Schizosaccharomyces pombe: one gene and its partners. The protein of the gene in region 1 binds, or shares a complex with, the protein of each later gene. Each region holds a gene or a part of one and is shown on either strand. Other genes may lie near its edges.

Region 1 (5,833 bases):
TGGTTCATGACTTGAGTGAAATATATCGTACCTTCGTCCTCTAGTTTAGAAATTTCCCTGCTTACGAGCAATTGTGGTGGAATGCTCAAAGAATAATCCAATTGGCTAATAGTCAATCTTTGTGTTTCAAGATAGTCCATATAAGAGACTAATTCGCTCAAATCTTCCATCTCAAAATCTTCATATTCTTCCATAGACTTAATGTTTCGTTAGGATGATTTATTCAGGTGCGGGTTACGTTAGTTCACACATTTAATAGAATAATTCTTTTTTTTAAAGTAACCAACCAGACGGTAAAAAAGCTTTACACTAGTTTTATTAAAATGGTGGAACGTAAATGTCTAGTGTAACCAAAACTAGCAATGTAAACTGTGCTAAACTATTGATGATAGAAGTACTTTCACAGTTTCTTTTCGTTCAAAGAAATTAAAACTTTGAACAAGTAGATTAAGTTTCTGGCAATGTCAAACTACGTTTGTTAATGGCTAATGTTATTGCGGCACAAAAACTAATTATCAGCGATGCTTCAATGTCTAAGATGGAGGTCTATTTCATTATAATTGTTATTAGTAGATTCAAAAACCTTTAATCTAATTTAATTTTGTCATCTAACTCTATGCAAATTGTTTCATAAGATAAATTAAAGTATTTCTCTATTAATTTCCCAGTTCTTTAATATACAAAATTCATTTCAAAAATCCAGAACTCTATAAAAAACCCATGTTTTTCTTATAGTTATCAATTTCTGCTTGGGTCAAACGATCTTGAGATGACCAGTCAGCAGAAGAGCTTCTTGGTCGAAATCGAATCTTCGATCGATCCTTCGATCGGAAATACTCATCCATTTGCAGAGGTTTAATCATACCGAAAATTTTGTCTGGATCCCACTTTTGTTGTCGTTTTAATTGCTCTCGTAACTCAGGTGATTCAGCCCACGATGGTAAATTTACCTTTTTCTTATTACCTTCATCATCTGAATCATCCGAATAATCGCTATTTATTTCTGGTAATTCCACAGACGTGTTAGGCGATAGGGATCCATATCCAGGAAAATAATTCGACTTAGGCGTTTTCAGTAACGGTGATTTAGAAGAGGGCTCCTGCATAGACGAGTTCCTACCTTTAGCTGGAGCGTGCATAGAAGCTTTTTCAATAAAAGGTTTATTTGATTGTGAAGTACTAGAAGATGGAAGCTTTCCTTTCATAATACCATTCTGCTTAGTAAAAGGGTTGACGTTGTGATGCATTGTTTTGAATCCATGTTGATTCGTAAGACCGACATTACCATGTACGGGATTCTTATTTTTTTGTGCAGCTATCTTCTTTTTTCGATCTTCATTCTGACTATTAGTGGTCCCTATATCGAAGTTGTTTCTCAAACTACCAACAGAAGGCTGAGTTACAGAAGTAACTGAGTCAGGCTCCATTTTTTTTGGAATAGTTGAATGAAATGCCAATGACATGTCCTCAGCTAGCTCATTCGCAAACCTTTGAGTGGGTTTCGACGTGACGCGTGTTAACCCAGATTTTAGCATATGCCTTGAAGTTGCACCGTTGTCGGTTAACGGTTTCTTCTTTCGTAAATCTTCTTGTCTTTTTAACATATTTGAATGCCATGAAGCATTCACATTTGATGGGTTAGTAACAAGTCTTTTGGTCGTTGGTTTTTCTGATTTTTCCTCAAATGGCTTATTTGAGTGCATGCTTTTACTTGATGGTATAGCATCTGGTTCAGAACGAGGTTTATCGGAAATAGTATGTTCCATATCCCTAATGTTAGATGAATTGGCTGATGTGACAGTTTTGGTCTGACGACTTGGAAATTCGTTGTTTGATAACTCTCGTTCTTTACCATAGAACTTTTTGAAGCGATGAGTTTCGTTTTCAGAAGAGCGGCTTTCCATATTTGAAGCATTTGCTGCTCCATTTTTTGCTTTTCGCTTTTCAGTTTGCTCAAGTTCGCGTTGAGAGGCTGTGGCCACACGAATTGCAATCGGACGTGAATGCGGAGCAAAGTTGTGATCAGAATTTTGACGAGAATCATCATGCAATGGTTCAGATAACTTGTGCAGAGATTTTTCAATAAATTCCTTCTTGGAAGGCGGCAAAGAAGAGTCCGTATTTTCGTTTGCATCCGATTTCAAAGCGTTTGAGCTTGGTCTAGAATTTGAAGAATTAAAATCATTTGACGACTTTCTGGTTGAAAGCCTTGTGAATGTGCTTATCAGGGGGATCTTAGGCGCTTGAGTGATTACAGCATGACTTTTTGCAGGGCTTAAGGAAGACTCGTCGTTTTTATTATTCAGCTTCATTTTAGCAAGGTGCAAATCCTTAGCTGCAGAGTTTTTAGCAGCATCTAAAACTGCATTAATCGGTTTCTTCGTGGGCGGAGTCGAAGGAATTAATCTTTTATTAGAACTTACTTCTTGTATTTTCTGCCTTAATCGTTCGGCACGATCATAAGTTTTCAGTTCATAGTGGTTTTCATTGGAGGCAGTTAGCTCGTTCAATTTAGCAATAGAATCGGGAATTTTGGCTTCAAAAAAGTCAAACTCTTGACTTTTGGCATCACTTCCAGGTTGAGAAGATACAGGTAGTCTCTCTTCATTGGATTTTAATTTGGCCGTTAATGCCTCAGCTTCTACTGCGTTGGATTTATCGAAGGAAGTAATTTCGGGAGGGGATTCAAAAATAGTTGGATGAGGTTTAAGCATTTCATTTTCGACAGACCTTTTTCTTTCCTTGGAAGAAGAAGTAACAGTTTCAGAAGAGAAGGCGACTCCTGAACTTCTTTTACGAGTTTTGTAAGAAGTCGATAACCTAGTAGACGACGTGAGCGATTCCTTGGCTGATAAATCTGTCTTGGCGGGGATGACTGATGAAAGGAATTTTCGAAATTTAGAAGGACTAGAGGACACATTGGTATTTAACAAAGAAGAAGGAGCATCAGAAGTAGTTGAAGGTAGTGCCTTGATAGGTTCATCTAATGAAATTTCAGGATTATTCGTTAAGTTGTCTTTAGTACGCCGGCGATTTAACTGATTTATAAATGAATTAGTTGATTCCACACGACTGTGTAATGATGCAGGTCTTTTCAAAATCTCTTCACGTTTAGGTAAAGTGACAAAAGAATAAGCGGGGTGCTTTTGCTTTGGTAATTTATTAGGACTGTCAGCAGTTTCTGATGGGGAAGGCGAAGTTTCACGAAGAGGAACGTTCCATTCAGTAAAACGACGCTCTACTGAAGTAGGACTAAAAGCTGGCAAATTAGTCGGCAATCTCGTTTCTTTAATAGGAGATACACCACCTTTAGTAGATTTATTAACTATATCATCTTTGACATATTCAGAAGATAGCTTAGTAGAATCCCTATCATCATCAAATTGGGTTTCTGTATTAGTAGCAGTATGTAATTCTTTAGGTTCCTTGACTGTATTGGATTCACCCGACTTATATCCTTCAACAGCAGCTTCCTCAAGCTGATGTTGAATAGATGTTAACCGCATGCGAGGCGTTGGTAACGCACATCGATGTACAGGACTTAAACGAGGAGTGGAGTACTTCTCCTTTATCTTGGTAGGTGTTCTCACTAATTCATATATATCCCTAACCATCTAATTAGCACATATGATAAACAACAAATGCGTACGACTCTAGCTGTAACTTGGAAACTTCAAGCATGTGTTCATTCAACCAGTCCATGGTTTCAGATACAAGGAAGAAGAATTCTTTCATTTTTCCATTAGTGAGTTGTTGGGAGTATTCCAACTCCTTATTAAACCATAGTTCTGACCCATTAGAGCCCATCCTGTTTGGTTACATATAAAGAATGAGCTAGTTGCTGGAGAGTGGTCGGTGGTGGAAGCAATCAAATGTCAACAATATACAACAGTAGTTGTATACCTAAGCTTCCAACTAAATTTATAAACAATTATGCTTTCCCAATTTACAAATGATCAAAAGGTTTATTGTTTTCAAGATTTAAATGTAAATATCAAGTTCCGATGTTATAAACAATTGTTAGGAATATAGACATCGGTTAACGACGAAGAGGTTTTTAACGAAGTAACACTTTAAGCCATACATTTTTTCGAGATGCCGATGCTGATTTTATTGCAGTAATTATTGAGTGGAATAAGCAACCCAATGCATGCAACCTATCGTTCGTTTGATCAGCAGACAGAGTTAACTAGTTTGTGTTCAAATATCTTTCACCATTTGTTTATGTTTAGTATATAGCAAGCGGCACAGACATAAAAGTTTCTATTGAACGGCTACAAGCAATTTGTCATGCTTTATACGCTTGTCATTTATTGGATTTTTTTAATGATTCGATCTACAATATTCACGCATTTTCTCCATTTTTTGTTCACATACTTGCCATAGCTTTTAAAAATAATTTTTCCAATCAGACAGAGATAAATGCCAAATATCATACACTTGTCTTTAAGTTTTCAAGAATGTATTAAAACATGGGTAACCATTCTCAAAAAATTAAAAGCTTATTCAATACAAAATTCACCGTTCTCTTTTCATTTTGAGCTATTTTAACTCAATTAGACTTTTCATTCCTTACTCTGTTTTAGAGGACAATGTAAAGAGAATAGGGTAATAAATATGCTTTTATAATTGACAGTCTGTTATTATTCTTTTTAGCAATTTAAATATTTTTCTGAATTCCTAAAATTTCTTTAATTAATTAAATAAATAATATATACTTTTTTGTCTGACAGATCAAAAAAGGAAGGGTGTCCGAGTGGTTATGGAGCTAGTTTAAGGCACTAGTGCGAAAGCTCGTGGGTTCGAGTCCCACCCCTTTCAGTAATTTTTTATTGCATTTTATAGCAAAACAGGGGAGTGTGAATTTGGCAAGCTGTTAGTTTCTATAGGGAATTTATAACTGCGAACTAAGTTTTCTTACTTGCAATGGCTATATATGGGAGGCCGAATTGCTTGAAAAACATAGCTTTGCATTTGAAACAATTCGCAAAAGTTGGCACTAAGGAAGAAGTTAAGATAAAAAAAATTCAGTTACTTTGGTTTTATGATTTGCAATTAAATTACAGTGATCGCAGAAAGATAGCAGCATTACGAAGACATGTTCAACTGCTACATAACACTTGCTATTGTTAAAGTTTTCGAAATAGTTACTGCCCGTTACATGTAAAGAACAGATAAAAAATAAATTAGAATTACTGTCTTCTCAAATGCTTAAATATTACTACTATGAAATTGTTATATAAACAAAATGTAGCGTTGCAAAGTATTACAGTAAACTTCGTTGTGCTGCATTATTAGTATTGTCCGGGACTTACTGATTCCACGACCTGTAACTAAATTGCTATAATCTCAGACTGTTAGCTTGGGATTGCCTGGAAATTGACAGGATGAGTGTGAGGAAGAATTCTCCTGCAAGCCCAAAGCCAACTTCCCGTTCTAGGGAGAGTTCCAGGTCTCCGTCAGTGACTGATTTGAAAGGTAAATGGAAATTCAAAGCAAAACTTGACTGACCACCATTTTTAATAGACCATTCCAAAGCTAAACGAACATTATGTAGAAATATCTTACTTTATGGATCCTGTAAGCATTCAGAAAATGGATGTGCTTTTCGACATGATGGTGTAAGTATAGGCGTATTCTCTTAACTTCAGAGAAGCTTCTTGCTTACGATTGTTTGTAGCCTTTCATCCCTTCTTCAGAGAATTTGGAGCAATACTCAGTGTATGATTTTTTTTAAGGCTTTGTACGTATAATTAACCTCGCTAGTAAGAAAAAACTGAATGCTGCGTCGGCCTCTTTTCAACCTGTTCGCGCTTTACCAGTAAAGGCTGCT
Region 2 (6,051 bases), on another chromosome or scaffold:
TCTCGCTCTGATCTCACGACAACCCAGGAAGCTTCTTCTTCTGCTTCTGTGCCACCGGCTATTGCACCTGAGTCTGCAAACGCTGCCTTAACTAGCACTATTGACAAGACTACGGGAGCACCTGAATTGGCACAGAAAAAGTATAAAGTATACGTTGGTCAAGGTAAAAATATGCCTCATAAGACTATAAAGATTATCGTTACAGACAATCAAGACCACAGCTTTAAAACCAAATCTCGGAAAGGCCCGTCTCCCTCATGGAACGAAGAGATTCCGGTCAAATGGAGTTTGGGTGACGAACTTCGAATTTCAGCCGTTACTTCCAACTTGCTTGGACATACTAAACTGGGTGAAGCGGTATTTCAAGAAGATGCTATTGGTACATTTAGGGTTGTAATTGGTGGTTCATCTTCTGTTGAAATTAAGGTCGAAGCTGAGTAGTATGGGTAATGCTTCCGGTTCTTTTCAACGTTCGTTATACTTTACTTTCACTATCTTGTTGTTTAATTCATTCTATTCATATTGACTCAAATATAGTACCATATTTGTATATTGTGCTGCCAAAAAAATAAATACTATAAGAAGAATTATTAAGACTACATCACCAGATTAGCGTAGTGTTGATATAAATACAGATAATAAGAGGATCCGATTAACAAAACAAGAAACATAAAAGAAAAAGAAAGAAAAGGACGCTGACAGTGCATTCAGACAAATTTAGTTCACATTACTTTAAAATGTAGCCCGCCAACATTTTCGCTTAAAGCGAGACGGTCCATAAATACAGAAACACAATATGTAAAATTATAAGTTTTGTATGTATTCTTCCGCCCGCTTACCTTCTTCCAGTAACCATTCTATTTTTTCTTCACAGGCTTCTTCAAACTCTTTTGCACATTTAGCATACATAAATTTAATCCACTGCTCAACGGTCATATCCAGTTCTTTTTCACTTAGTTTGTTTGGCTCTACAGGATTCGGTACTGGAGATTCTAATAGACTCGAGAAATCTATGGGTTCCCATGGTGGTGCATTTGCTTCAACTAAGGGCAAAGCATGTTTTGATTTGACAGGAGTTTGAGGAGCCAAAAATGAAGATTGGCACAATGGATCAAATGGACTGATCGAATGGTCATAGTAGGATTCATCTAAAGGCTTCCGGACACTTGGCAAATTTATACTCGTTACTTCTTTCTCAGCGTAAGTTTTAGCGAAAGCTGAAGAGGTTTCACAAGAACCAGGTGAAGTTTCAACATCCTTTTTACTTACATTATCGATTTTATCTACCTTCGTTTCCTTCTCAGGTGTATTTTTCGACACTGATCTAGTACCATTCTGTACAGAAGTCCTAGAATTTTTGATTTCTTGATCAGGAAAAGCATCACTTAACGAGACTTTGTCTACCTCAGTCAATTTTTCTTCAATCTTTTCAATATTTTCTAATTCATGGTTGGCCTCCTTTTCTTGCAATTTATCAGAAGTTTCTGTATTAACAGCTTCAACGGTTTGATTGTTCTTGCTCTGTAGCTTAGGAGAATTAATGTCATCTTCTTGAAATGTCACTTTTTCGGAGTTTCCGACGTTTCTGTCAGGAAGATCCTTTAAGTAACTTCCTGATTCAAGTTCATTGGGTTGTACGATCGGCTGGGGATCCAGGCTTGAATGAACATTCATGACAGTATGACCAGAATTAGCTTCCTCATGATTAACATTTTCACTTTTTTCATCGGAAACAGGACTTGATACGTCTCTCGTCTTGGTCACTCCTCTATCTATAGAAACTCTAACCGTTTGGGACTCATCGCAAATGGCCTTTCTTTTTTCCTCAGGAAGCACTTCGCTAATTTCAGTTTTTGGTTTTTCTATAAAGTCCACTATTGATGTATCAAACTTTGTTTTTGATGTTGAGGTACTTTTTCCCTTCTCTAAAACTCCGCTTACAAGATTATCCTTCCTTTTAATTGCTAAGAGAGGAATTAGATCAATTAAAGGTTTGTCATCATTTTCAGATTCAGAAAGCAATTGTAGTGACTGTTCAGACTCCATACTCTTATTCTCAAGATCCTCAAATTTACTAACGTGAATGGCAGTTTGGCTGTCCTCTGTAACTTTTACTGGTTCATGTGAATCCTCAGTAGACGAAACTAAAATGTTTTTAGATTGTAAAACTTCTTGAAATTTTCTCTTCTTTTCAGGAATTGGTATTTTCAAATTGGTCTCGTCATTTTCATCATTTGCTTCTTCCGAGTTTCTCTTTTTTGAAATGTTGCTAAACGAATCTATTGTACTCCTTGGTGAAAAATTGGTTTGTAATATTTTATCTCTGAAGCTTGAAGAAGACACTCTACCTCCTGTTGCAGCATCAGTCATATCGGGAGATGAAGTTGATGGCTTTGAAGAGATTGGTTGTTTTGTGGACTCCTCTATGAACGAACCTTGAAGATTTAAATGCTCATCTTCTTTTTCAACCTTCTGCTGTTCCGGAGTTTCGATAGCAACTTGTTTTTCTGTATGATTTTGCTCTTTACCAACAGAAGAAACAGAAGACGAAATTTCCTTTGATTTGGAAACCACAGATATTTCTTCTTCAATTTTTGATTCGATTTCAATTTTCGGCGGCGTAGACATACAATTATTTTGCTCATCACTTTCATCAGTTACAGATTGATGTCCAGTTATGTCAGAAACAGTTGTGTGGACGGATGTAGCTGGTGATACAAGATGTTCCAGCTCATTATCTTTTTCATCTTCTTTAAGTGGAATTTCTTCTGTAAAATTCTTTTTGGCTACTTGCATAGAGTCATTACATATCCCTTTAGAGAAGGGTTGAGAGGCGGTCAAGTCGTCGTCATCTTCGTCTTCATCAGAAAAAATTGGCTTAACAGGTTTAAAGACTGCTGGCTTTGATTTTTTTGGAGATTTATTTTTTCGCCTTGGAGCCGTAAGTAAAACGGGCTTCGTTGGACTTTGTGGTGCACGGGTGGGTTGTGAGTCTTTCTCCTCAGAGGTATTAGTATAAAGGGACATTGTTAAAGGACGTGCATTAAGATTATTCTTTCTACTAGGGGAGAAATTTAAAGTTTTATGAGATTTTGTTGAATCTCGGGTGGGAGAAACGGGAAGAATGGAATTATCCTCGGTCAAGTCTTCAGGGTCAATGTTCGACGTAGATAAAAAAGACAGTTTAGTAGGAGATAAGCTATTTGGGTCTTTCCATGTAAAAAACACACAGTCCGCACGACGGCGTTTGTGCTCGGTGTAAGGGTCATCATCCGGTTCCCAATCATGAAGATTAATATCACAATATAAGCAATGAGCTGCATCTTTAGCATCAGCAGTTGGATTGTATACAAAACCAGAAGCAGCCATTACACTCGGCTCACAGTGATAATCAGGGCGATTGGTATACGGCCATACTTTATCAACAAAAGTTTGTTCTCGACATTTTGTGAGAGCTGCAGCTTGGGGGTTCTGGTTTGGATTGTTTTTTGAGGATAAAATATATGCCCATGGACAGCTGGGGCTATGAGTAATATGCTCTTTCAATGGATCATCATCATCCTCCCAGTCATAAAATGACTTGGTACACATATAGCATGTAACATTATCAAGTCTTTCTTCAGAATTAGATTCAGAGATTGGATTGTAATAGAAACCGACAGTAGCAAGCTATTTTCTTGTTAGCAACACAGATGAAAACTCTATCGTCAACATACAGTTTCTGGCGTCGGTTTGGCTCGCGGCCATTTTTTTTTCTGGAAAGTGTCAAGTCGTTTAGAGTAATTACACATTTCCCTTCGAAACCGATTCCATCGGCGTTTAGAAGAAGACGTTATCGGTTTCATTCTGAGCAAGCTTCAACAAGTGAAATTTAGATACCAAATTTCGACTTCCGATCCTTAAAACTATAAAATTAATTTTTTTAAAACTTCTGGTTATTGTCTTTAGACAATATCAGATACTTCCAAATGCATAGGATAGGGAAGGTCGCCTCGCAAGGCGTATATGGGTAATGTTTACTTTTTGTAGATTGCTAGGGCACACGAGTTTACTGTAATTGAACAATGTCGTTATATTGCGTAAAATGTCGTTAAGTAGTATAGCAGACTTTAATAAATGGAAGGTTCACTGGTTACAAATTTTTCGAGATGACTAGGTTTAGATATTATATTGAGTAAGGAAGATTCAATTATTGTCTTTAATGTCAGCCTTATGATCTTTGTTAATAAATTCAAAATTTAACTAGAAGATTTTTGCTAGCACAAAGTAATGTATCATAGTTTGGTACTAATATTGTTACATATAATAATATTAAAGCTCCAACTCTAAAGTATGGAGCATCGTGAAAGAAGAATAAGGCTACATTTTCATGGCTATTCAAAGGAAACTATGCATATCAACAAGACAAATCTGATTTCATTTTCCTCTTTCGATGCGATGGTCAAAGTTATGAATACAATGATGAATCAGCTGTCTCATTAGAAAAAAGTTGAAAAGAGGATGACAAATGCGGTGGAAATATTGAACTTCCTAAAACCTCAAATAAAAGTTAAGCAATAGAGGAAGTACAATCATGAAGACAATGTAAAATAAATTAATTGAATTAGTCCCATGTTGTTTCAAAGGTACAAAACCTGTATCTAGTAGTGGAGCAGCCAAAAGCTACAACTAAATCGACAACAAAGACCAAAACTGTTGAATGATTCCTGTGTTTCGTCAATAAAACAAATAATAAACTCACAAAATAACCACGATCTATAAACCATTCGTTGGTTAGAAAGTGAATGAAAAAAAGTAAACAAAAGTTCGTTTCGACACGCACACTCAGGACGGACTTGAGAAATAATTTAACAAGTACAAGATGTTCAACTTTCCAGCACAATCATTAAACAACAATATAACAAAATGAGAAGAGTGACAACTGCGGAATGTATGTCTAGGTAAACCTCCTAAAATGTAATAATCTCGTCTAATAACAATCGCGCCATACACGTAAAGGTAAATGAAAAAATCGGCATCCTCAATTGCTCAATGAAATAATTTAACGATATTATAAACCACAGGACCACAGCCAAAATCATGAAGCCACTTCGATGTTTATGAAAATGAACAATCTAAAAAAGAACGAAACCTAAACAAGCATAAATGAATAATGTATGTGAAGTATCATTACATAGCCATATCTTCGGCATTAGTCGCCGAAAATTGAAAATCGCCGGCAGGCTCTTGTGTAGTTCCAAATGTAAACGTATCACCGACGGTTTCTGGTTCAAGCTCTTCGATTTCGTCTTCTTCACCGAAAAACTTTTCGATAATATTGTAAGCTTTTTGGTAAATTTCCGAATTAGATGAGTTCTGACATTCGTGGATCAAATCCATACCACCAGCATCCTCAACGTAGACGGCGTATAAATTGATTTTATCAGGGTTATTCGCGCGATCAAGTTCACCCACTCGCAAAATATTTTCAATACCATCTAAAGCAACCTGGATAATCTTGTTATCTTGACAAGCCAGCAAATTACATAAAGGTTTGATTGCGCCTTGCTCTACAAGGTAGCGAATTTGGTCGGGACGACGAGCGCCACCGGATGTGGCATTGGAAATGGCCCAGCAGGCTTCCTTTTGGATTTTAAAGTCAGCGGTCGTAAGGAGATGAATTAAAGGAGGAATAATGTTAGCTTCAATAACATATTGAATTTGAGAAGAATTACCGGCCGTTATATTACTAATTGTCCAACAGGCTTCCTTACGAACGCCATCGCGTGGACTGCTTAACAAAGAAAGTAAAGCACTTAAAGCACCACAATTAATGATGACCTGGGTCTGAACGTCATCTCCTGTAACAATATTTCCTACGGATCGGAGAGCAGGAGTCTGTACTTGAGCGCTAGGATGCATTAAAAGTTCAACAAGCCTACGAGGAATCCCTGCATCAATGATGGCTTGGATCTTCTCATTAGCGCCATCAGATAAATAGGAAATGGCCCAAAGGGCATCAACTAAAACATCTTCGTCTAAGGTATAAATTAATTTCGACAGAACAGGGAT
Region 3 (3,771 bases), on another chromosome or scaffold:
ACAATTTGAGACATCAGGCTTGTTCAGAAATTCGTGCTAGTAGTATGAGTGGTGAGTGTCGCTGGACCAAAGAACTTCGTTTTGGTAACATTAAAACTTTTCGGAAGCATCATCAAGAATGCGTCAAACGACGAGCTACTATCTCCGTACAAGGTAACCCGAATTGTAAAAGCAAAGAGCAAGCAGAAGCAATCGTTGAAGAAGTGTTCAATTCCTGTTTCAACGATTTCAGGCCTTTTGAAAAAAGTACGTTCGCTGTAGTTTTGTTCATTCATTTTTTTCTTCGTACTAACTATTCATTCTTTCGTCTAGTCTATTGAAATACCAGTTTACAAAAGTCAGATAGTTATTATGTCAACTCCCTTCCCCTCCCATTTTATAATATCCCGTACAGCATTTACGTTGGCTTTTAAAAAATATCGAAGCATACTTCTCACTTGTTATGCAACTTATTATGTGCTTGGCGTACTTTATCTTTATACATATTGTAACAGTTTTTTTGGAAGTTATTATTAGCTTGGCTAAAGTGATGATAAATTTTTAAATAGTTTTTATTAGGAAAATGAATGTCTTCTAAGTGATTTCGAAAAGAAAATCTGGAAAACGATTAGTTTATGGTGGTGATCCTCTATTAAATGAGTGTGTTATATTACATATAATTAAACCTCCATAACCCCCAAAGATCAAAAAAGTTCTGAAGGAATATAGTGAGCTGCGCGATTAAAAAGAGCGCTGAAACAAAAAGAAAGTAGTAATGCAAAAATGTAGTGAGAAGAAGGAAAAATTAAATAAAAAGTACCAAGATGGCGGTTAGGAAGATTCAGAACTTTTGCGAGTCCATGAATCTTTATATTTTACAATCCAAGGGTGCCTCATAACTTGTTCCAAACTCATTCTTTTTTCAGGATTATGCTGTAATAGACGAGAAATAAGATCCCGTGCATCAGGAGGAACAAAGCTTGGAATTTTTAAGTCAACTTTGGCGATACGCTTATACGTAGCTGAATGACCAGACATGTCCTCAAAAGGCGGTGCTCCCACCAAAAACTCATAAGTTAAGACACCCAACGACCAGAGATCAACTTTTTCGGTATGCTCTTTTCCCTCCACCATTTCAGGTGGTAAGTAATCTAATGTACCACATAAAGTGGTACGACGGTTAGAAGGTGCATGGACACTCCAACCAAAGTCAGAAAGCTTGATTTCTCCATCAATTCCTAATAAAATGTTCTCAGGTTTGATATCACGGTGTATTACATGCTTCTTATGCAAGTAGGATAAGGCGTTAGCCATTTGGAAGATATATTTAGACGCAACTTCTTCTGAGAATCGTTTTGCACGACGCAAGTGTTGATACAACTCACCCCTGCCAGCAAACTCTAAAATCAAATAAATCCTTTTTTCATCATGAAAGTGCCCATATAGCCGTAAAATGTTTTTATGGCGAAGATTTGATTGAATCTCAATTTCTCGTCGAACTTGCTTTTCTATCTTTGACTGGACAAGTTCAGACTTATGCAATGTTTTGAGAGCCACAATAAACCCGGTCTTCTTCTCTTTAGCTAGATATACCCTTCCAAACTTTCCTTTCCCTAAGGGTTTTCCAATTTCAAACATTCCAATATGAAATTCTCGCCATTGAGGACCAGCTGATGAAGGTACTCCAGCAATTGGCTCTTCTATCTTACGAAGGGAAGAATTGAACTTGCTATTTGAAGTCCGTTTGTTTTCCTTCCCATTTGCTAGACTAACATTATTTACTTGTCGTTGGTTTGATACTGCAAGTCGTAAAAGCTGTTGTCTCCCAGGATTAGCTGTGGTTGATGGAGTTGACACAGAAAGGCAATTCAAAGAATCTGCCAACTTTGAATCTGACATTATTTCGTAAAAAAACGCTGATGTTGGCTTTTGACAAGTTCGTCCAGAAGTAGGAGCGTTGTTGTTTACATTTTGAGGTAACACCATGTTTACTGAGTCTTAACACAGCCTGCTATTATCTTCCTTTCTTTCAAACTAAGAAGGAGGCTCTGATTCCCGTTGTTATTTATGAATACTCAAAGGGTGTTTCAAAGATTATTTACATGGAAATTATGAACGAATTTATTTAGCATACGAACCCACTTCGATTCTACAAATGTTATTAAAAAAAACGACATGTATCGTTCTCAACAAAATAAATAAAAGGAAAACAAACAGAATATTCTATATCATCCCAATACCACAGGCTTAAAAGTATATTTAGTATCTGTTTTTTATTCTTTTCAATGTGTCCACTGTTTGTTTACCGAATAACGATATACAGTGAACTATTCAATACTAGTTATAGAATACTTACAATATTAACGCTTCAGAAGGAGACAGTGCTAACTAACAAGAAAAGAAAAGAATTCAGTAAGTAGAGTAACACCAAAAGAAAAGGACCGAAAAGTGAATTAACAATTGTAGTTGATAATAAATTATCGTATTTCTCAATCAATTTAGAAAAGTACACGATAAAAAATCTCCGTCAGGGGGAATCGAACCCCCGCCGCATCGGTGAGAGCGATGAATCCTAGCCACTGGACCATGACGGATTATATAATTCTGCGATTGTTTTAGCATTAATTATCAGCTTTTTCATTCTTGATTAAGATTTCTCATAAAAAAAAAGAACTCTTTAGTAACGAGTTATATGCATAGTAATGTGAAAGTCAAAACACCGTTTGTTGGATATTTATTTCTAAACTGATTTAAGCTGCAGTCAAGTCCATTGCTGAGCAGATACAGTTTACAGAAATTAACGAGGCTTGGTTCAAACTATTGATATATTTAACCAATGCTGCATGACTGTTCATCACGCTAAAGGTAGAAAGACGTTACTATTCTGGCACTCAATGAGTCGAAACAATTGTTATACATGCATTTTCGTTATATTCTATGACACTCTTAACAGACTGTTTCTACATCTTGAAATTCTCACTATATAATGTTAACATTTATTACAGAGGAATACTACAAATAGTGATTAGCATTATACTCGCTATGCTACATGTCACTGTTTTATGAACTAGCAAGTTGGAGCTCCGTCCTGCTGTTTCATTTCCATTTGGTTCTAATTGTGTAAGTGTCTTTACAATTGTCGCCTATAAATTCGTTTCCGAGTTGGGCTCGCATTTTTTGACCTTCTTTTCATAGTAAAGATAAGATAGCGTTACAGTTGACGGTTCTCTCTATAAATGATCGAGAGCTCTGCTTGATTTGACATCTCTCATTGTCGTTAAATTCTTCAGTTTGCATTTTAAGACTGAATAGTTTACAGAATAAAAGGATATTTTCACTCTTTTTAAATTTTTAAAAAACTACGACAATGAGCGATAACCTGGTGCTTCCTACCTATGATGATGTTGCTTCAGCTAGTGAGCGAATTAAGAAATTCGCCAACAAAACCCCAGTACTCACGTCGAGCACAGTAAATAAAGAGTTTGTGGCAGAAGTGTTTTTTAAATGTGAAAATTTCCAAAAAATGGGTGCTTTCAAATTTCGCGGTGCCCTTAATGCTCTTTCTCAACTCAATGAAGCTCAACGTAAAGCTGGTGTTTTGACGTTTTCTTCTGGTAATCATGCTCAGGCCATTGCACTGTCGGCAAAGATCTTGGGAATTCCAGCAAAAATCATTATGCCACTCGATGCACCCGAAGCCAAGGTCGCTGCCACGAAAGGCTATGGTGGTCAAGTAATCATGTATGATAGATACAAAGATGATAGAGAAAAGATGGCCAAAGAAATTTCTGA

What was found. The genes of interacting proteins can lie anywhere in the genome.
Region 2: pic1 (region 1) and bir1 share a complex: the UniProt entries of both Schizosaccharomyces pombe proteins name them as parts of the CPC complex.
Region 3: pic1 (region 1) and ark1 share a complex: the UniProt entries of both Schizosaccharomyces pombe proteins name them as parts of the CPC complex.

What each region holds. Positions count from the first base shown.
Region 1 is NC_003423.3:2,767,245-2,773,077, reverse strand, and holds pic1 (INCENP-like protein Pic1), read right to left. Parts: upstream 3,871-5,833; 5' UTR 3,808-3,870; coding exon 3,650-3,807; exon of another isoform or gene 3,607-3,649; coding exon 708-3,606; 3' UTR 540-707; downstream 1-539. Other genes in the region: single-strand DNA-specific 5'-3' exodeoxyribonuclease Exo5, read right to left, coding at 32-194; PAN complex subunit Ppk26, read left to right, coding at 5,388-5,478, 5,527-5,621, 5,681-5,721, 5,767-5,833. UniProt on the Schizosaccharomyces pombe protein: Component of the chromosomal passenger complex (CPC), a complex that acts as a key regulator of mitosis. Has a role in sister chromatid cohesion and condensation.
Region 2 is NC_003421.2:545,304-551,354, forward strand, and holds bir1 (survivin Bir1), read right to left. Parts: upstream 3,997-6,051; 5' UTR 3,846-3,996; coding exon 3,717-3,845; exon of another isoform or gene 3,670-3,716; coding exon 805-3,669; 3' UTR 502-804; downstream 1-501. Other genes in the region: tricalbin, C2 domain protein (phospholipid binding) ER-plasma membrane tethering protein Tcb1, read left to right, coding at 1-441; importin alpha family nuclear import signal receptor adaptor Cut15, read right to left, coding at 5,170-6,051. UniProt on the Schizosaccharomyces pombe protein: Component of the chromosomal passenger complex (CPC), a complex that acts as a key regulator of chromosome segregation and cytokinesis.
Region 3 is NC_003421.2:139,769-143,539, reverse strand, and holds ark1 (Aurora-B kinase Ark1), read right to left. Parts: upstream 1,911-3,771; 5' UTR 1,879-1,910; coding exon 811-1,878; 3' UTR 502-810; downstream 1-501. Other genes in the region: peptidase Atp23, read left to right, coding at 1-246, 313-320; serine racemase Sry1, read left to right, coding at 3,347-3,771. UniProt on the Schizosaccharomyces pombe protein: Component of the chromosomal passenger complex (CPC), a complex that acts as a key regulator of chromosome segregation and cytokinesis.